Linked DNA regions of Drosophila melanogaster. The protein of the gene in region 3 purifies or fractionates together with the protein of the main gene of each other region. This does not show direct contact. Each region holds a gene or a part of one and is shown on either strand. Other genes may lie near its edges.

Evidence for each region.
Region 1: the proteins of Taf8 (region 3) and Taf5 purify together in Drosophila melanogaster (affinity purification with western blotting, with the first as the bait; one study listed by BioGRID). This does not show direct contact.
Region 2: the proteins of Taf8 (region 3) and polybromo purify together in Drosophila melanogaster (affinity purification with western blotting, with the first as the bait; one study listed by BioGRID). This does not show direct contact.
Region 4: the proteins of Taf8 (region 3) and e(y)3 purify together in Drosophila melanogaster (affinity purification with western blotting; one study listed by BioGRID). This does not show direct contact.

What each region holds. Positions count from the first base shown.
Region 1 is NT_033778.4:10,876,789-10,881,603, forward strand, and holds Taf5 (TBP-associated factor 5), read right to left. Parts: upstream 2,886-4,815; 5' UTR 2,818-2,885; coding exon 703-2,817; 3' UTR 524-702; downstream 1-523. Other genes in the region: nclb (no child left behind), read left to right, coding at 1-428; Pex6 (peroxin 6), read left to right, coding at 3,219-3,245, 3,540-4,052, 4,116-4,815. UniProt on the Drosophila melanogaster protein: TFIID is a multimeric protein complex that plays a central role in mediating promoter responses to various activators and repressors. May play a role in helping to anchor Taf4 within the TFIID complex.
Region 2 is NT_033777.3:24,799,454-24,807,253, forward strand, and holds polybromo (polybromo), read right to left. Parts: upstream 5,807-7,800; 5' UTR 5,720-5,806; coding exon 4,768-5,719; intron 4,710-4,767; coding exon 3,118-4,709; intron 3,060-3,117; coding exon 1,607-3,059; intron 1,549-1,606; coding exon 581-1,548; 3' UTR 514-580; downstream 1-513. Other genes in the region: Ude (Uracil-DNA degrading factor), read right to left, coding at 1-52; lili (lilipod), read right to left, coding at 6,958-7,166, 7,233-7,464, 7,525-7,800.
Region 3 is NC_004354.4:18,100,281-18,104,004, forward strand, and holds Taf8 (TBP-associated factor 8), read left to right. Parts: upstream 1-1,689; 5' UTR 1,690-1,779; coding exon 1,780-1,927; intron 1,928-1,987; coding exon 1,988-2,422; intron 2,423-2,477; coding exon 2,478-2,606; intron 2,607-2,663; coding exon 2,664-2,938; 3' UTR 2,939-3,202; downstream 3,203-3,724. Other genes in the region: CG7135 (uncharacterized protein), read left to right, coding at 3,401-3,724. UniProt on the Drosophila melanogaster protein: TFIID is a multimeric protein complex that plays a central role in mediating promoter responses to various activators and repressors.
Region 4 is NC_004354.4:19,635,327-19,640,100, reverse strand, and holds the start of e(y)3 (enhancer of yellow 3), read left to right. Parts: upstream 1-1,731; 5' UTR 1,732-2,728; exon of another isoform or gene 2,729-3,249; intron 3,250-3,631; 5' UTR 3,632-3,663; coding exon 3,664-4,774. Other genes in the region: Rcd-1 (required for cell differentiation 1), read right to left, coding at 11-205, 281-655, 708-791. UniProt on the Drosophila melanogaster protein: Essential transcription regulator during early development. Coactivates transcription of some euchromatin genes and repress transcription in of euchromatin genes translocated to heterochromatin.

The DNA.
Region 1 (4,815 bases), on a different chromosome or scaffold from region 3:
TTGAGTGGAAAGTTGACGGTGAAGTGGAGAAGGTCCTGTGGCATCCCACACAGACCGACTACTTCATCGTGGGCACCAACGATGGCACCTTGCATTACGCCGACAAACGTTCTCCTGGACAACTGCTGTGGTCCGTAAAGGCCCACAACGAGGAAATCTCCGGTGTGTGCTTCAACAACCAGAAGCCTAATCTGCTGACCTCCACCTCCACGGAGGGCACCCTAAAGGTGTGGAACTTTGATGGCACAGAGGCAAAGCACGTCTACGAGCACGAGTTCAACATGGGTCGCTTGCAGTGCATGCGCCAGTGCCCCGAGGATCCCTACACCCTGGCCTTCGGCGGAGAGAAGCCTCCGCGCTGTGCGATCTTTAACATCAAGAACTCGATAGCCGTGCGCCGAACGTTTGGAATCCCTGATGCAGAGTAGGCAAATCGTACAGCTACGTATTTATCTGTGTATATGCTTTATATGACTTTTAAATAAATATGAATTATATATAAGAACCTTAATGATTGACTTTTATATTAATTAAAATTTATTGATAACTTGCGCATATATGCACTTTACACTTTTATGCTTAAACAACTAATCGACATTTCAGGGGGGATGGGTCACAAACGAAATACAAAACATTAATCCTAAACATTCCGAGCATTCCTTAACACTACATTACGTATACCAAATAAGCTTATCTGTGCTCCTAACTCTTGAATAGACCCACGCACATCAGGAGATTTCGGCGCGTAAAGTGCAGGCTGACAAATGGCGAGTTCTTGCTGGGGAAAGTACGCATGAGGTAGACGTCCTCGTCGTTCTCATCCTGATGGTGCGACACAGTGATGTGATTGCTGATATAGTCTTCGGTAACCTTGTGAAAGTCCCACAGAGTTAGATTGTTATCCAAGCCGGCTGCAGCCAGGACTGTTCCATCGCGACTAAAGGTGATCGTGGTCACAGTGCTAGTGTGCCTCAACAGGGTGGTGACCAGGGATCCGTTCGACAGATCCCAGATGATGATATTGTGATCTACTGAACCCGAGGCCAGATACCGGCCGCAGGCGGAGAAGGCCAGAGAACTCACCGATCCCTTGTGGCCCGTCATCAGGCGTACCGACTGACCGGTCATGTTGTCCCACAGGCGTACCGTGCGATCGCTAGAACCGGTGGCCACATAATTGGAATTGGGATGAAATTGTACACAATCCACGTCCGACAAGTGACCCACGAATACGCGCAACGCTTGATTGGAATCCGTGGCCCACAGACGAGCAGTTTTGTCGTACGAACAAGAAACAAAATAGTAGCCATGCGGCGCAAAGCGAACATCCCACACCGGGTAAACGTGCCCGCGGTAGGTGACTACGCAGGACCAGGTGAGCAGAGACCACAGCCTTATGGTGCTGTCCTCGGAACATGAGAGCAACAGGTTCATCTCGGGGGCAAAGGCACAGCGGTATACGGGTCCGGTGTGACCCATTAAGCTCCTGGTTACCTCACCACTTCGGTCATCCAGCATACGCACATTGATATCCGCCGATTCCTTGTCCAGTTCGCGAAGGGAATCTGCATCCTTCAGCGTACGCAGCTTCGCGGGCGTCAATGACCAAATCCTCACGCTAGAATCGCCAAATCCACAGGCCAACATCGTGGAATCGTCTGAAATCTCGGCACAGGTTACGCCCTGATGGGAATTAAGCACCGTGTAGAAGACGGCAGAGGGCAGTTGATCCTTGCTGAGGGCTAAACGCTTGCTGGCTTCCCTGAGAGCCTTAAGCTTTAGCAACTTGTCCGAATCCTTCAGTTCCGGCAGGGGAATTCTGTCGATGGATGGAGCATTCGGATCCGACTTGGACTTTTTCGACAGCAGGGGATCCTTTTTTGGCTTTTTCTTTTTCGGACGATCCGGGGCATCCGGATCATCGTCCTCCTCCTCTGGTGCCGGCGCTGGAGTGGTCAGAGTCTGAAAGTCCACCTCCTTGAGCAGTCCGTAGTACACCCGCATTTTGTTGTCCTGTCGCTTGGCCTCTCCGAGGTGCGAGCCCGCGGTGGCGACGCACTGCAGCTTGTTGCGCGCCATGCCCTCGTATGTGTCGAAATGCAAGTACTTGGAAACAATATCTGCCACCACTTCCTGCCGGCGATCCTGAATGTGTCGCTTGAACAGAGAGTGCGAGTCCCTGGACATGCGAATGACAAACTTATCCTGCTCCATGGCTACTACGAGGTCATTCTCCAGCAGCTCCTCGGGCTTAGACAGCAAAAGAAGGTTGAAAAGACCCTCTATGTAGTAGCCGTCGAGATCGCATTTGTACTTCTCAATGAATTCTTTGGCCTTCTCCCTTAGTCCACTGGCGAGGATCTTGAAGTAGATCTGCACCAGAATTGGGTACAGAACCATGGACAGCTCATGCTTGTATATGTCCAGGGAGTCCTCAACGAAAGTGCGCAGCTCCTTGTATGCCTGCTCATAGTGCTGAGCATCAAAGCTGTCGTCGTCGATGAACTTGGCCAGTTCCTCTGCAGCATTGGCCTCCGTCACCGCGGACTGTTTATGACCCTGCGCCGGAGATTGGACATGTTTCCGCTCCCGGTTGGCATCGCCAGCTCCCAAAACTGCGCCCAGCACCTGCTGAACATCACTTTCGCTGATTTCCGACAATTCCACACTGCTCACATTCGCCTCTTGGCAGAGCAGCTCCTCAGTGCTCTTCAGCTGGTACTTTTTGATGAGTTTCAGCAGGCACAGCAGCTCACGCTTGTCGTGGGACAATTGAGTACCGTTTCCCCCGTTTATATTGCTCACTTCCAGGCTCATTTTCGCGGAAAATTGAAATATATGGAACTTGTGTACTATTTTGTTATGCGTGGAAAAGTGTGACCAGGTTGGCATCGGTTGAAAACGGCCAAGTGGAGAATGAAATATACTAAAATGCACCAAGTACAGTCAAAATATACAGTAGCCACTAGCGAAGACGGATTCTAAAAATAAATTGTATTAATACATTATAAATTATATCTTTTTGCCAATTTTTGGAATTACTTAAAATATAATGACATATTTCATTCTTTCATTTTACTACAAAATTAATATTTAACTTTTATGCAGGTCAAAGAAATTATTTGAAGATGTGCTTATAAAGGTCTTACTGTGGACAGCTGACTGAATACTTTTAGTATTTTTTGAGCAAATATCTTACCAGAATCAAAACATTCGTAATGAAGAGGAGAGTAATTGTGAAAAAGGTAAAATACAAAGTAACTGGCCAAATAAACAAGCTAATTTTTATAGCAGAGGGTAATAATTTGCTGTGCATTAACAGAATTAACTTGCCATTGCATATTTCAGTGTATTTGTCTGGCGCCTATCCCCCAACTCCTTGAACTTTGACACCGCCTCCTCGAAATTAACCCTTGTACTCGTGCTTTCTGTTGTGTTTAGTCCATATTTATTGTAAAAAATGAATGAAAATGATGATGCGGTAGGTCCATATGTAACATTTAAGCCATATTAGCTAATATCGTGATCAATTCCCGCAGAAAAAAGTCGTCGGCAAGCGGAATTCGGTGTCGTTCGATCAACAAGATCCAGGACAGCCGAGATTTAGCTTCTCTGGGAGAGTACAGGAGCTAGTCGAGGGCTACAATTCGGCCATACAGCTGCTGGCGCCCAAGTGGCCCTGGTTCCTCTACCCCGGATATCTGACATACGCCGTATACTGGCGTTACGCCAAATATTACAAGGGCAAGTTTCTGCTGACCCCCATTCCGAACCGCCTCTACGATCTGCTGATCAAGAACGAGCAGATTAAGTCGGAGCACCTGGTGTTCGCCAGTCAGGAGGTGTACGAAAACTATGCGGAATCGCCGGACGTCAACTTTGTCAACTTGGTTATCCGCGGCAGGAGGGTAAGAATCGGTAAGCCGCTAGCTTCAGACGAAGGAAATATGACCCAAACGGTTATCAAGCAAATGCTCCAGGAGGCGCCGCATACGATTGTGGCCCAGATCTTGCCGGCTGCACAGTGCCAACCCAATTGTCTGTACGTTCAGGTGGGTATCTAGTTCTAAATAAATGGAATATTTTCTATAATTCTACATCGTGTAAAATTTCAGGAGAACTTCTACGGCAACATATTGGATCGCTTTCAAATCCGCTCCAACTGCTGGGTGCAGGTAGAGCATTTTGCCGATGAGCAGACAATACCTGGAATAGCAACCAAAGCACATGTGTACTTAGTCGCAGATCCCCATGAACTTCCCGCCGAACTGACAGAGGTCATCCTGAGCAACTATTTCAATACACCTCGACTCATGCATCGTGGACATACCTACCGCATCGAGGTGAACGCAGAGTTGGTGGGCACTGCGACTTATGCCCACTATTACCTGATATTCGCTCACCTACGCCACGTCCACCTAAAGTGTATTCACCTGGAGACAAAGGGCAGCGAGTTCGAGCTGCAAGCGATTGTTGCCAAAAACTTTAGCAACCTTGTTCAAGTGCCTGCATCTCACAGTTTCCTGCCTCGTCAAGTGCTTGACAGCATGGCCATCGTTGAGAACTATCCAAGTGGACTTCGAAAGCCCTATAAGCTGTTGCGCTCCTCAGTAGATGCTTTCCTGCCAAAAAAGTCCGCCTGCCTGTCGTCAAAGCACATATTTCCTGTGTTCCTCCTGCAAGGCGAGCGAGGATCGGGCAAATCAAAGCTTGTGAGCGCCGTAGCCCAAGAGTTGGGGATGCATATTTACGGAGCAGATTGCGCAGAGATCGTTTCGCAAGTTCCCTCCCACACGGAGATGAAGCTAAAAGCCG
Region 2 (7,800 bases), on a different chromosome or scaffold from region 3:
CTAACGCCTTCTCCATGTCCTTGAAGCCAAATTTCGAATCTCCCTCTGCCATTGCTGCTCCTTTGGTTGCTAATACTTGGGTGAGTATCTGTCTGCTTCCTGTCAGCGCTAGAATACGACTGATTTTGCGTAGCCGTCTCCAACTCGACGGCATATGGCACTTAATCATGGGAGGAAGACGCAAAATGAGCACCACTGAGAGGCACTGATCAGAGCTGAGCGTGGCCAATTAGATAAGCACCACAAAATAACTGGGTGACTCTATGTTTGGAAACCGGTTTGTTGTCGTAGCACCGGAGCAAAACAAAACCCACGAGAAAATAATCGATACTTAGCCATGACGTCAGCGCCACGAGAAACTGATAACATTGAGAGGAAATAAACGATCTTAAGTATTAATTACCTAATTAAACGCCGCTCTGCATATTAAAGCATGTAATATGACATTGCTGTCGTTATATTTGCAATCATATTTATTATGATATATTTTCCCCAATCAATACGAAAATTGTTATAATTTGTTTGTGTTGTTTATTAACATGGAACTCAAAAAGCTTTGGGCTTAGCGGTGAACGATGGGCTAGTTGCAACTGCGCCGTATTTGAAGTATATCGTCGACCATGAAGTTGCGCAGGTGGCACAGTGCCTGCACCACGTTGCCCTGGTCGCGCAGATTCGGTCCGATCCACTTCTCGGGTAGCGCCGTCTTGGCCACCACCTGTGCGGGTGTGATGTGGGTCAGTGCACGCCGCCAATTGTTGTTGCAGGTGACCACGTTCAGATGGCTGCCCGTCTGCAGGCTCTCGATGTACTTAATGTAGGCCTCCGAGTGGATGACGCGAGTGGTGCGCGGCGGCACTGTGACGAAGAGCGGCTCTGGTGGCGGACCCAAGACGATCGTTTGCTGTTGCTGCAGTTGGTGCATGTTCTGCTGCGGATGCTGCTGCTGCTGGAGCTGCACTGCCTCGAGATTGCTTGGAGCGCGCGGCGATTGCGCAAGGCTGGGCGGGATGGGCACAGTAGTGGCCAGTTGCGCATGCTTCTGCCGACGCGGCACGAAATTCTTGCTGCGGTCTGCCGCCGAAATCGTCTTGCCACACTTGCTCAGATGGACCTCGCGCACATGCTTGATGAGGCGCAGAACGTTAGGAAAGGCCTGAACAGACTTCTTGACCCGCGGGCAGTTGCGCCACAGGCAGACATACTCCGTCTCCACGCCCGCTTGTGGATGGCGCTGGATGTGTCCGGTGCTATCGGACATGCAATGTTCCGTGCAGTCGCTAAGCTCCTCGAACTGAAAGTCGCACTTATCCCACTGACACTCAAAGGTGAGCACCTGTCCAAAGACATCCTGCGAAACTTGGGATGAGGGACTCGCACTGTTCTGGACGTCGTCCAACTCGCGCCGTAGGGCCGCCGTCTCCTCATTCTGTCGGCTAGCCCTATCCTCCCAGCTCTGCTTAACGCTGGAGGGCAGATTCTTCCATTCGGTGCCCACCATGCGGGATATGTCTCCAAAGGTTGCGTCCGGGTTGCTCTGGCAAATGCCTGTAAAAGAAAGTTCAACGGTTATACATGATCTTTAAAGTATACTAAATAAACGTACTTTTTCGAACTTCACTAGAGTACAAAATGTAACCGGTAAGACATTTTTTGGCCGATTTGGCGGCCTTAACTTTGGACGTCAGTGGCGTGGAGTTTACTGAAGGAGCCGGCGAGGACATGGCCGCAATGTCTGAGCTCAGCGAGGGTGTATCCCCATCCATTGAATCCTCTAGCATGCCCAGTTCATTCAATTCGTTCTTAAAGTCCTTGGAGGGCTTAATGGGAGTCTTAAAGTAAAAGATCTCATCCTCGGTGACAGAAGGACTGTGTTGGAACTTGCGCATGTTGCCCGTAACCAACTTGCGAAGAGCTTTCTTTAGCTCATCATAGACGGACTCACAAATGTACACATCGCTTTCGGATATCTCCGTGGGTCGGGAGCTGATAAATTCGGAGTACTCCAGGACGGCGCAACGACCCACGATGCCCACCACCGGACTGACCTCTTCGACTGTGCTCAGCAGCAGTTCCTGGCGATAAAATTGCTTGCCCAAGCCGGGGGTCGTCTCGCTGGGTGGTAACAGCCATGGACCTTTAAAGTATGATTTTCCATTCTGCTCCCAAATCTGCTGGACCTGTGCCACCGACTGCTTTCCTGTTTGGGTGGCCACGTAAACAAAGTCTCCCGTTTTTATGGCCCCACTGCAAATGGTGTTGTACTGCTGGTAGTACGTGCTGCCAACCTCAGCATTTGGCGGCGGATCGCAAGACACATTTGGTTTCTCCTTTTCGACCAGCGTCTCTTGGAGCTTCAGCTCCTCCAGTTCTCCTTTGTGCTTTTCCAAACGCTCCTTAAACACAGACATCACACGTTTTAACTCCAATGGCTGCTCTCGTGGAACGAACTTCACCGAGCTGCCTTCACGGACTGGCGGCCAGCTCTTCAGCTTCTTGAACCAGCGACCTTGGATATTGTAACGAGACTCGCAAACGTAAACATCCTTTTCAGGCAAGTTTTCCGGACGCATCTTGATGTAATCCTTTATGTTCATTACGTAGCACATGCCCTGCACTTTATCCATCGAGATGGTCTGCGAAAGGCTGCTCTTGAACACTTCCTTTTCGAGGAACTTGCGAGTGGTTACATGGTACGTTTCGTGGGGCCGTACAAAGATCGAAGCCTGCATCAGCTTCTCATTGGTGGGTGATGTCCAGAGGCGCTCTATGCAGCATATCGAGGGAATCTTGTTTTCCGGCATTTGCACGTATACGTAATCGCCGGGAGAAAACACCTGCTGGTTTATTGTCATGCTTTCACCCTTGGCTGCATTGAATTCATCCTTCTCCTTATCCTGCTCTTGGTCCTGTTCCTCTTGTTGCATTTTTTGCTGGCGACACAGCTCCACATCAGCCATAAGGCGTTCTAGACTAAAATTTAAAGCGGATGAGCTAAGTGTGTCCTTGCATAACTCGTCTCTCTTGCGAATGAAGTATGTTTGCAACTCGATGGAGTCCTGGAAAAGTTTGTTCTTAGAATAGTACAATGCTTCTATTATTGTAGTTATTACTCACCTGAAAAATATCCGAATCTGTGCGGGACAACTTTCTTGCACGTTCCAAACAGGCAAAAATATCTTCCTGGTAAACATCAAGCCGTTTGTAAGCTCCTTTGTCAAGCCTTCGTTTTACAAGGTCCAGCGAAATGCCGCGAACCTTGGGTCCTTCGCCAATCTCATCGTACTCCGGCAGTTCGGCCAGGGAATCCGAGTAGCAACGTCCCTCCTCGTCCTGGTGATTGTAAATAGTCGTGAACAGTGTGAGGAACAGCTCCTGAACAGCCAAAGGAACATCCGGAAGAGAATCGCGCTCGGTGCGCAGTTGTTGCTTCAGCTGCAGTGTCAATTGTTGTAGCACGAGCGCATCCTTGTAGATCTGCGAGTCTGGCTCGTTATACTTGCAGGCGTTCTCCAGCATCAGCAGAAAGTCCGCTGCCAAGTCATCTAAGGTATCATAAGCGCCCTGTTTAAGTTTCTGAGCGATTCGGTCCATGTCAATAGGTTCCCTGATAATGTCGTAGTAGTCCGGATACTCGCTCTTGGATGGCAACTTCGTAAATATAAGCGACAGCTGCCTCTTACCCTTGGGCTCCTGGTACTCCTTTACTGTTTCATAGAATTGCCACAGCCGCTCTGTAATTACAGCGGTCTTTAACTTTCTTCCCACCTTGCTGTACTTCTGCTGGCTTTTTTTGCCCTCTGTAAGACCAGGGAACTCCTTGAGCTTTTCATTTAGAGCTCGTTCCAATATATTGGCATCCTCGTATATGTTAGAGCCCTCCTCATTATACTGTCGGCAGTTGGAAAACATAAGTCGATAGTCGGATACCACGTCCTCCACGGCGGCATAGCGATCTGTGCGAATGTTATGCTCGATAGTGTTCATGTCAATGGGGTTTTGAATGATATCGTAGTAGTCCGGATAAATCTTGCGAGGCGGCTTTTCCATAAACATTTCGATGGGACGACGATTGCCCAAGGAGTAGTCCACCAAATATTTCTGTATGCTCAGAATCTTCTTTTTAATAGCCGCGTTGATGGCAATGCGATTTGATTTGGGTGAATTCGAGTTATTTGGTGTATGGGAGGCGTTAGAGTTCGAATTGGAGTTGATGCGGGGTCTGCCCGGCTTGCGCTTTTCCGGCTGCGTGCTAACCGTAAATACCTCTGTGTCCATTTCCTCTGCATCCTCGTCATCCAGATCACTGCCCTCCTCGAGAGACTCCTCCACCAGCTTGGCATTCATTAGCTTTAACATTTTCAGCGCATCCTTGTGAGTGCGATGGGACGTCGGAAACGCCTTTTTGGCGTTGTCCAGCATGAGATATAGATCGGCGGTGAGATCACTAATGTTCGCATAATCGCCCTTTTTGAGCTTTGTGTGGATTTGGCTCATAGATATGGGTCGTTTGATCAGCTCAAAATATTCGGGATGGAAACGACGAACTGGCAGTTTCCATAGAGAGTTTCCCAATGGAGGACCAGTAACTCCCGGATGTTCCGAAGTTCCTGGTGCGTTGTACAAGTGATCGAACAATGCCCACATGGGCCCCTCGCCCTTTTTGCTGGTCTCCTCGTCGTCCGAGCTGTCAACCTCCTCTTTTAGTGCTGGAAAAAGAATAATTTATATACAAAAAAGAAAAAAAAATGTTTTTTTTAATCTTACCAGCAATTGCTGCACTGGAGAGACTCTTGACGCGCTTAGCCAGCTTGCCTTTGCCCATCTCCAGCTCAATACGCCGCTGCGTAAAGATCCGTTTCAGGGATTTGGCGTCCTTATAGATCTGAGAACCAGGCTCGTTGAACAGACATGCGTTTTTGGTCATTTGTAGCAGATCCCGTTCCATCTCCGCCAGCGAGGAGTAAGCGTTCATTTGTATTTTGGTCGCAATCAGGCGCAGATCAATGGGATGCTCAATGACATCGTAGTAGTCTGGATAGATTTTCTTGGAGGGCAGCAGTTGGAACATGCGGTGCATTAACCGATCGCCCACGGGATCGGTAGCGGTCATAACGGAGGCGAAGAGCTCCTCGTACTGGTTGTACTCGTCATCAGTTGCTCCATCGCCACCAGGTTCAGTGCTGCTGGTCATTCGGCGCACTTGGCGCGACATGCGTCTGGCACGCGGCTCCTCCTCCGCCAATCCATTTGCCTCCATAATGCGCTGTCTCTGCGAATGAATGTGCTGCCACAGAGAGACTGCGTCCTGGTGCTCGCTACTGCCCGGTATGTAGAAGGCCTTGGCATTGCCAATAAGCAGCTCCAGGTCGGCCATCAGATCATCCAAATCGTCGTAGGAATCGGTTTTCAGCTTCTGCTGAACCTTGAGCAGATCAATGGGATTGACCACCACGTCATAGTACGAGGGCTCTTGCCGGCGCTTCGGCACGCGGATGAAGGTGTCGCACAGCATTGAACCGTCCTCCTTCTTTATGTTCCTTATGGAATCGTACAATTGCTGGCACAGTTCTGTGGGATCGAGACGGCGCTTTTTTCGCGCCGATTGTGTCGTCGTCTGCTGCACCGGTGACTGCTCCGGCGTCGAGTCGTCCAGCTGCAGCGGATCCTCGTCCTGCCGGCTGGATATGCTGCTCGCCCGGCGCTTGCGGCTCAGCATCGTGTTATCCCTGTTCTTATTACAGTTAAAATCTAAATATCCGATAATAAGACGCCACACAAAATGCCACAAATTCTGGGAATGAGCGAAAAAGTAGTGGTGGGCGAAAGGTTCGATAGTGCGCGGTCGATATATAGTTCGATAGCCGGCCACTTGCGTGGTGAGTTATCGTAATCGAAGCGCGCGGTGGTGAATATTATTTTAAATGGTATGTTCCCACCAAAAATCATATTTCTTAACCAAATAAACAAGCTGAACATCATTTTACTTAAGTTCTTTATTATAGCATCCCTAAAGCATCATTTAAAGTTTTAATTAAGTCATTGAATCACAGCAATATCGTAGGTAGTTTTCCTTAAATTAGCTCCTTCTCGAAAAAAGGCATTCAAGCCAATAGAAACAACGAAGTTAGGCTGAAAAAAAAGTTAAACAGAACAATATTTAATTTAAAAGTCAGCAAAACGCAAGCGCGCAATTAAAAAGCCATGATATTTCGATTAATTTAGTAAAATGCTTTGTTTATTATTATTTTTTATCACATAAGTTTTAGACGCTTGTTAGTGTGTGATTGTGTGAATATTGGGTTACAGATTTGAGTATGCCGTAAAATGAAATGAACACGCCTCATCGTTTCGCTGCTTAAGGAACATTGTTAAAATCTTATAAAAATAACTGAAATATACGTGGATAAATAGCGAAAAACATGTATGAAATGGAATTCACTCTGAACGACAAGAAACGAAATTCTAAACTACGCCTACTGCAAATTGACTGCGGCTTATGTTGCACAATTACATCTTCTATTTACATGCTAGTTATTGGCGAGATTTCTGCGAATATCATGGTACACGAGTGCCATTGTTCTGTGTTTACTGGCACCACAGTGATATGCTGGTGCACTGTGAGGACTCTGTCTGTATAAAGTACAACAATTAAGCACAACAGTTAACATTGCAAAATTTAAATATTAGTATCAGTTCTGCACAACTATACGTGATCATATAACATATGTAAAGGTATATTATATAGTTTCAGCTGCCCATCTCCCATGTTTTTCTCGTGTCTTAACAGTTCATTTCGTTTGCCTTGCGACTAGCGGTGGTATTGCGACTGCTCTTACGACTAAGGTTACGATACTTGGTATAGAAACTTGTTAGGCTCTTTAGCGGCGACTCGACAAGGCGCCTCACCTCCTGTCGGTTTATACAAAACGCATTGTCGTGTCGCTTGCGCCAATATCAGTTGATGAAGCTAATGTAGTTAGTAAAGAGCACATAGTTCTCCACTAACCGGGCTCTTAGCTCCCGGCGCACCGTAGCCGTGAATTTGTTTGCCAAGCACAGGGCAGTTGTGGTTCCAAAAACCAAATTGTAAAGCAATACAATCTGGAAGTTTCCCAACCACTCGATGGCTCCAAAATCACCCAGCAGGTCAAAGTTTGTGATGCCTGTAAGAATCAATAATAGTCGCTTTTAAACACTGTATTATTCATTAGTAATTTGCCACAGCCTACCTATGATCCTGCTGAGAAGCGGCAATGCCGACGACAAAACCAGCATGAAGCCACAGTTCAGCATTAGCTGTGGCAGCGAAGTCTGGCGCCGCTTGGGACAAACCTTGCGCATGAACGGCATGCTGTAGAAGCCCACCACCGAGGTGGCGCCGAGATAGAAGATGAGACACACCTCCAGGCCGGCACCAAAGGGACCCAACTTCGAGAGCGAAGAGATGCCCAATGCGAATTGCTAAATAAGGGAAACAAACTCAATAAGCATTCGTCTTACGATCCCTGCAGTTAGACCTACCCTTGTGCTTAGTGGCAGCGCCTTAATGCCAATAAGGAGCTCTAGTGTATTCTGCACAACCAGCAGAATGGTGACAGCTGTGCAGAAGAGCAGCAGCAGCATGGCCAGCGGATAGACGAATGTGCGTTGGAAGGTGCTCGATGTGCGCAGCTTGTCTAGTTCCTTGCGCTCGGAGTCCAGTTCTCTTAGTCTATCGTTGAGCTCGTCCACGTCACTGGCCATCGCCTTGCGCTGGTATAGATGAGCCTGGGAGTGTTGCAGCAGTGGCTGGGGATA
Region 3 (3,724 bases):
ACAAACGCAGCCGCACGTTCGAGTGCGCACTTTACAACGGAATAGAATGGAGGAGATGACTCTCTTTTTTTTTACAATTTTGTGTGTTTTCTCGATTGTCAATATGTTCTGTATTTAATTACTGATAAGATATACATAGACAGGTGACTGCCGACAGCTCTGAGTCATCTGTAAAACTGCAAAAACCCACCAGCCAAATGCAATAAACAAAAGTCGGACCAGGGATACTACCCAAAAACAAAACAAACGAACCAAAGCAGTGCTTGTTTTGTTAATATATTAATATTGATATGGTTAAAGGTGCCATTATGTGATCAATGAAATGAATTCTGTTCTGTTTATCATTACGTAAAAGTGCTCATAGGGAGTTAGTATACAATATTAACTACTATTAACTGTTGTTAATAATATTGTTTTTCATAGTAATATCCCATCGATCATTAATCAAGATTTTATTTTTCCCTGTCCACCTAGACTTTCTAAGGTTTCGAAATGAAAACTCTTTGGCGCGCAGACAAAGAAAGAGGATTACAGCTAGTACATATGTATATGCAACACAACTCTGGGGAAGTGGGGAAACTCCGGCTGATAACCAAAGTGGAGCACGGAGCACGGAGCTTAAAAATAGAATCCATTCGAAAAAGACCGCACACGATTCCAATTATAAGTGCAAATTGCTAGGAAGTTCGAGTGGCTATCCCCCTCCCAATACTCAGCCATCCATTTATACATTTGTTCTATACCCCATCCGAAAAACATTAGTCAACGCAGCATCCACACACATCCATCCATATTCATCCATATATACGTACACAATTAAAGATTCCCGATGGAGCGATTCGGGTTCGGATTGCGACTATAGCGCCAGGGGGCCCGGTCCACTCGGTGACTCTGCGATCGCACTATGCAGCCCGGCGCCTAATAAGCTGCATTTAATTGAACAATTAACGATTAACGCCCGATCCGGTCGCCCGATTTTGTTTAATTTACTTCCGAGTACGTTCGTCTTCTATTGTTTGGCAAAGAACAACAAAAAATACACTGATTTGTTGGAGATGGTGCACCTGCGATGCACTCCTTTCTATATATCGATTGTTTTTGAACCAACCATCGACTACCGATGTTTGCCCAGTCATCATTTTATATTAAAAATATTATAAGGCAATTTGAGGAATCTATGGTATAGTGTATGACTAAGTAGTGTGGAATAGTAGAAGTGTACAGTAATAACTACTAATATAGAAGTAATATAGTACAGTAAAATTGTATTATAATATGTTATTGCTGTGTAATGCAGCTTATAAATAAGTTGACGCCTCAGCGATTTTATTTAATAATGGTTGAGAATTTATCTTAAAAAGATGCTTTAGACTTATGCAGGGGAATAACTAACTAGTTTGTTGGAATTATTAAAAAATTGCCTGTTTCTATAAATACATAAAATAACTTTTACTTTATTTCCTAGGACTTAGTTCAGAATTTAAAATGTCTTTCATCAGTTTAACAATCTCTGGTGACGTGTTTTTCCACTGAGCTTTTCAATAAACTCTTAAGAACTGAAAATTTAGGATTTATAATGCCAAGCCTTGGTTTAACTAACATAAAATCTTAATGCCAGATGAAATATTGAAATAACCAGTGGAGTTGCACTTGAACTCATAAGGAGCGTTGCGCCGATAGCTGTAGTCGATAGTGCCGAACAGTGCCATCACTAGCCGCTAAAGTGGCAATATTCACTGCGGTTTCTACTTTAGCATAAACAAATTGAATTCTGTCTCCATGGAGAAGGTGGAGGCGGTAACAGTGTCCAATGTTGATCCCTATAGGCGGATCCTAAACAAGGTGGTGTCCCAGCTGCTATTGGACAAGGGGGCCGGCCAAGCGAGCAACCACAGCCTGGAGACGCTCACCCAGATGCTGCAGGCGTGTAAGTTGACATTGTGATTACCATTTTGTACTAGGATAATCATTTAGCACGCCATTCCAGTGATCTGGGAGATCGGCAATTCGGCGCATAACTACTGCGAGCTAAGTGGACGCACGATGCCCACCGTGGGCGATGTCAGTTTGGCCCTGATTAACATGGGCATTTCGATCTCCAATTTGGATCCGTACATGCGCAAGGAGACGCACGTGCCCATTCCACTGCCCCCACAGCAGACGCAGCAGCGCCCGCTGAGTCTGCTGCAAGCGGGCATCAAGGCCCCGCATCCCCACTACGTGCCCAGCTACTTCCCTCCCATGCCCGATCCGCACGCCTACATACGGACGCCCACGCACAAGCAGCCCGTAACAGAGTACGAGGCCATCAGGGAGAAGGCCGCCTGCCAGAAGCGGGACATCGAGAAGGCGCTCACAAAGTTCCTCTGCAAGACCACGGAGACGAACAACCTCTTTCCCACCGAGGACAACATGTTTCCTTGTAAGAGGCACCATAATCATCCAGCGAACAATAATTAATAACCATTTCCTTTCAGTAATTGCCTGCAAACCGGCCTTTCCTCCCTATGCAGCCGCTTTAAATCCCACAGATCAGGTGTTTGACTTCGAGGAGCTGGAGTACCACTATCTGGTGGCCAATCGCACAGAAGATGAGCCCAGCAAAGGTGCGTTTCTTTCAAATAGTCAGATGCCACGAGTGCTAACACTTTCCACCCTTTTAGACGACGGCGAAGAGGGCGATAGCGAAAACGAGGAGATGGATGGCGACAAATCCAAAGAGGAGAAGCCCGAGCTGGATATCAAGCCCAATTCCAACACAAACAAGGCCATTTTGGAGAACCCCAACATCGATAATCCCTATTTGCGGGCGGCTACTCTGCCCAAGCGATCCAAAAATTGCCCCACACCCGGAACCATGCCCAGCAGGAGTCTGGCCACCACGGCGCCAACGATACGAACGCCCTCCACTCTAGAGATAACCAAAACTAACCTTTAAGAGTAGCAGGCGTTTTTAATTATGGTTTGAAAATGTAAACACTCCTGTTTTCTTTAAATTTAAAAAATTAAAAAATTTAAAGTGTAGTTTTAGGTTCAAGGACTAATATATTTTATTTTATACTTACATATTTGGAATCTTTAAGTTTGAACTGAAGACATTGTATAGGGCCAATTTCCTCAAAATGGCATAATATTTCGTGTTATATATTTAAATAATAAAATAAATGGGTACTCCAGCAACGATCTGTGCTGGAAGATCTGCAAATCGGCTATGTTCTTCAATCTGCAAACCGCTAATCCAGCGGCAAATGCACTTCCATCAAGGCAATTGAGGAAGGTCCAGTCGTGCCCTGTCCATTAAGATCAATTAGGCAACAAATGAGGCATCGGCAAGTGCTCTCCGAGATTTTGCATAAAAAGCCGGCTGTTCACCGCCACAATTGCAATTTACGGATACACGATGTCGGACGCACTGGAGGAGCCACCATTGTACCTTACGCCGCAGTTCTTCAGGCGCACCCTGGAGCACGGATTGCAGCAGCTGGACCTGCAGGTCATCGGTGTCCAGCTGACCAATCTGACGCGTGGCGGGGAAAACTACTGCAGCAACATTTACCGAGCTCAGATTAAGTATCGCAATGCCGAGAGCTGCGCAATGGAGACATCCCTGATCGTCAAGTCCATGCCGGACGAGAAGCAGGCCATTCTGGCCCGCCTGCACATTTATAACAAGGAGACGCTTTTCTACATGCACATCAAGCCCAAGCTGGAGGCACTCATGTGG
Region 4 (4,774 bases), 1.5 Mb from region 3:
GGACACTCACCAGGGTGATGGCCACGTGCGAAAAGCGTTCGTAGGTCTGGCAGATGTACGACAGACCCGACTCATCGAGCAGGATCTTCTGGATGATGAAAGTGGCCACAGTCTTGCTCAGCTCCGATCCGCTGTCCATGATGCTCAGACAAAGGGGCACGATCTCGGTGGTCAGCAGAAAGGTGATCACCTCCTGTTCGTCGGTCTGTCGATAGCAGTAATAAGAAGACAACAAGTGCATTAGTGCATTAGATGACCACTGGCCTTCGGCTTAACCTACCTTGACCAGAGCACCAATCACGCCCAAACTGGTCAGGCGCAAGTACTCGAAGGGCCTGGTCTTGGACGTGGTCGACAAGAAAGGGTACAAGTACAGCGGTATCTGGGCCTGCAGGAAGGCCGTGCGAGTCTCCGGGTGCGAGGCGACGCACTGCAGCAGCGCCAGGGCGTTGCACACGCGGTTCGACTGGTGGGCCGTCAAAGTGGGCGGCGTTATCGATGGGTAGATGTTAACAATCTCCTGCAACAGGGCGCAGGCGGTCCCGAAGCTGTTCCACAGCATGGGGGCCAGGTCCGTCTCACGCTTCTTGCTTAGCTCGAGCAGAGCGGTTTCACGCGTGTCCGGATGGGCCAGCTCATTGATCCACTGGTACACCTGGCGGGCGATAAGTTAAAGCTAGCACGCGTTCTTGCCGACATCGGCTTACCTTCTCCTGCTCGGTCTGCTGCTGCTGCTGTTGCTGCTGCTGCTGCTGCTGAGGATTCATATGCGGACTCGGTTGAGCACTCATCGTGTTAACTTGACAAGATCTGGGTAAGAACTGTCGCCGGACGCTTGCAATGCACTTAGTGTCGGCGAGAACTCGCTGAACGGAACGGGACCTGCGAAAAGGAAGAGGTGGATTCCTATCGCCGGACGCTTAGATCGGGCGAGAGTTCGCTGAACGGAATGGGGCCTGCGAAAAGGAAGAGGTGGAACTAGCGATTTGTCGTCGATTTCTATAGCCGGACGCTTGCAATAGACTTAGCTCGGGCGAGAATTCGCTGAACGGAACGGGGCCTGCGAAAAAGGAAGAGGTAAAACTGGCGATTTGGCGTCTATTGCGATTATCGATAACGTTAGCAGGAAATTCCTTTTGCATTGGTTTAAGTCTAAAATGATCGAAAACAAGTGGCGACAACCAGGATTATGTTGTGTGCCGAACAGTGTGGCCAGAACCGCGCAAATGCCGCTGGAAATTGGTGAAACGCAAGCGCGCTATTTGTTTTCCAGCGTCGATGTAAATATGTACATAAATTTAAATTTTCAGAGAAACTTCCCGCCGTACGAAAACACAAAGTCTGAATGAAATCAAACATGATTTGCCAAATACAACTGCTTGCGCATGCTTTGTTGGTGCAAAATGCAAAAGTCTACAATTTTGAAGAAAATAGGCTTGATATCTTTGAAAAAGGATGACATTGCAAAGAAATAATGAATGGACGTGAGCGCGTGATTGCGAATGACCGATGATTACATTGATCAAAAGTAATAACCATAATGGGTATTTTAATTAGGTTATAGTTCATAATTTGCATGCTAAAAGCTAAAAATGCAATTTAGTAAAGACGCATTTAGCGGTAGTCAAGTGCACCGACTGGTTTGTATCCCGGCTATCCCCGTCGATTTTGTGGTATTTCTTAGCACATTCCCCGCCAGCCGGGTATCTAGCTGACAGCCGCAAAACGGCCACACTGATTTTCATTTGTCGTGACGAGTACCTCGGAATCGAAAAGAAAAAAACATAAGCAGACAGGCGAAACAGAGCATTCCGTTCAATAATGAATGCATAAGAACGTTCGACGCGCGCCGAGAACCAGTCTGCATACGAGTCGTGCGTGCGGCCAGCGTGTTGGATATATTTTTTTGAGGTTTGCGCCAGTTTCCAATGCACTCTCGTGTCGCCCTGCCTTCTGTACCATCGAATTTGAATCGTTAAAAGTGCGTGGAAAAGTGTACGAATCGAAACCAATACACGGAAAGTGGGACAACGGCGACTGAGAGAGCTCGTTGCGCTTGTCTCTGTGTCGCTGCCTTTGTGTGCGTACGACTGAGCGTGTGTGTGTGTGTGCCGTTCTGTTGCTGTTGTGTGTGTGTGTGTGCATGCGTGTGCACCGCCGATGTGTGCGTGCGAGTAGTGCCTACTGCGGCCGAGAGTCGAGTGTTGCCCGTGCTTCGAAATCGCATTGAATCGTATGGAAAAATGTGTTTTACTTCTCGCCCAACAACGCCGAACGCCTAAAAAAGAAAATTGCCGCACGGCGTCGCGCAGCATCAATCAAAGTGCATAGAAATATGAGCATGCCAATGCCAGCAAAGGCAAAGGCAAACGAAATAGCAAATCCAAATCGCAATCGCGAATTGTGCACGCAAATCAAAAGCAGGCGCTCTTCTACTCCACCATCTTCTTTTGTCTGTCTCTGAGCGACGACTTTGCCGCATGGTGAGTTTGCCGTTTGCTTGTCGTTGCTGCTTCTTCTTTGCCCCGTTCGTTATTGTTGTTGTCGTTGGTATTGGTAGTGGTAGTGGTTGTAGTGGTGGTGTTGGGTCAGGGCTTTGGCGGCGGCGTCGTTGTTGCTAATTTTGTTGCCAGTGCACTGGCTGTCGATATTGCGCTCTAAAATCGTGCTCACAATAATATTAGTCCTAGTGCAGATAGATAGATGCTTGCATTTGGCCAGTAGAAATGTAAGCATACATATACGCAGGCCAGGGCAACCAACCCATATGAGTGTGTGCGTGTCGTGCTCCTTCGTATGTGTGTGTGTGTGTGTGGATTTTCTCCATGCAGCGGCATCGACTGCTTGTGGTGGATTTGGCCGCCAGCGTGGTGAATTCGCGTCAGTGTTGCCAGCACACACCAGTAACAAACAGGCCATAATTCGTGGCGGCGCGGCTTTCTCAGTATTTGCCTATCCCGCTGCTTCGCTGCGCTCCTCTGCGCTCAACGCCATAGCCATTCCGCTTCATCCTCATCTTCCTCCTGCCTTTTCACGTTCTCCCCCAGTCGACAGCTGTGTGCGCATGTTTGCAGCGCTTATTATTTATTAAGTGTTGTTGTTGTTGCCCTCGCCGTGGTTCTTCTTGTGTTTATTTCGCTTGAAGTTTTTCGCGGCAATTTCGAGCGGTAGTTTTTCAGCGCCGGAAAATCGTATTGCATTTTCATCGGAATTTTCGGCTGGCGACTGTTTAAACCTGCGCGTCCTTCGGTATTTACAAATACGGTTTAATTGTTTAGACATGTGCTATAATTAGTTCGTAACTCTACCCGGCTTTCATTCAATTTTATTCTTTCATTGGGCTCCAATAAGTGTGTATGTACAAATGTACATATATGTATGTATGTATGTATGAGTGTATTTGTGGGTGTGTGTGTCTGTAGGTCGTTCCCCTTTTCAAATTGTCTCTTTTTAGTGTAAACAAAATGCATCCCTTGGAGCGGCAATTATACGCATTATTATATGCTGTATTGGCGGTTTTCTTTAGGATTGATTTCACATGCAAATTTAAGAATTAGTTGTTGAAAGTCCCGAATCTTATCGACTGCTATCATGCACCCTGATCTAAAGTATCGTCCACTTCTTTTTGCAGGCTGGCGGCCCACTGGACAATCGAATATAGCAATGAATGATTTACGTCAGCAGCAGATGGTAGCAGCGACATCGTCATCAGGATCGGAATCGGGAACAGCGGTAGAATCGGCAGCCGCCACGTCCACAGCAGGATCAGCCGGAGCAGCAGGTCGCCCCCAGTCTAACTGTAGCGCTAATAGCAACGCCAAGTCAGTGGCAGCGAGCAGCACGAGCGAGGAGGAGCAGCGAGTTAGCTCCACGTCGTCGCCAGCCCAGCGGGATCAGCAGCTGAATGCAGATCGGGACCGGGAACAGGAGCCAGAGCCACAGCAGCAGCAGCAGCGGGAGGAGGCACTGCAGCACCAGCATAATCAGCCCGGCCATATAACCAGCACCACAGCGTCGCCTCCGCCGACGCTGCCACCGCCGACGACGCCGTGCGACGATGCCCCAAGCACAACTGGAGCATCTGCATCGGCCAGCTCAGCATCCGGAGAAGCACCATCAGCAGCATCAGCAGCGGGAGCAGCAGGTGGACCGATGGCCGCTACGGCGCTTGAGGTAGAGAGCGAGGAGCGGGATGGACATAAGATCATCCTGAAGCTCTCCAAGCACGCCAATCCCAACTCAAACGCAAATGAATCTCAGCCGGGCGGAGATGAGAGGCGCGTGGAGCCCCTGCGCATTCAGCTGCCCTGCGGCGGAGCGGAAGGAGGCTTGGTTGCGAAGCAGCAAGATGCCTTCGATGCGGACGCCTCTTCCTGCTCCTCGTCGTGCGCCGAGGACGAGGTGGCTACCACCCTCGGCCAACAACTACGAAACACCCCGCACATTGTGCCAAAGCTGACCATCCGCGCCGCGAACGAGAGGCGCGTAGGCAGCGTGGTGCCTAAGCTGACCATCAAGTTGCCTGAGAATCCGGCTGCTTCCGGCTCCAACTCCAACTCTGGATCGTGCTCAGCAGCTGTGAGTGGCGCCCAGTCAGCTATGCCCGCCAAGAACGATGCCCACCTGTCCAGCCTCTCGCCCGCATCCGCCTCGTCTTCATCTGCCTCGTCCTCCTCCTCATCGTCGTCGTCGTCCTCACTGGCGGAGATGCAGACGGTGCCCAAGCTGATGATCAAGACAACGCTAGCCGGTAGTAGCTGCATCAGCAGCAGTG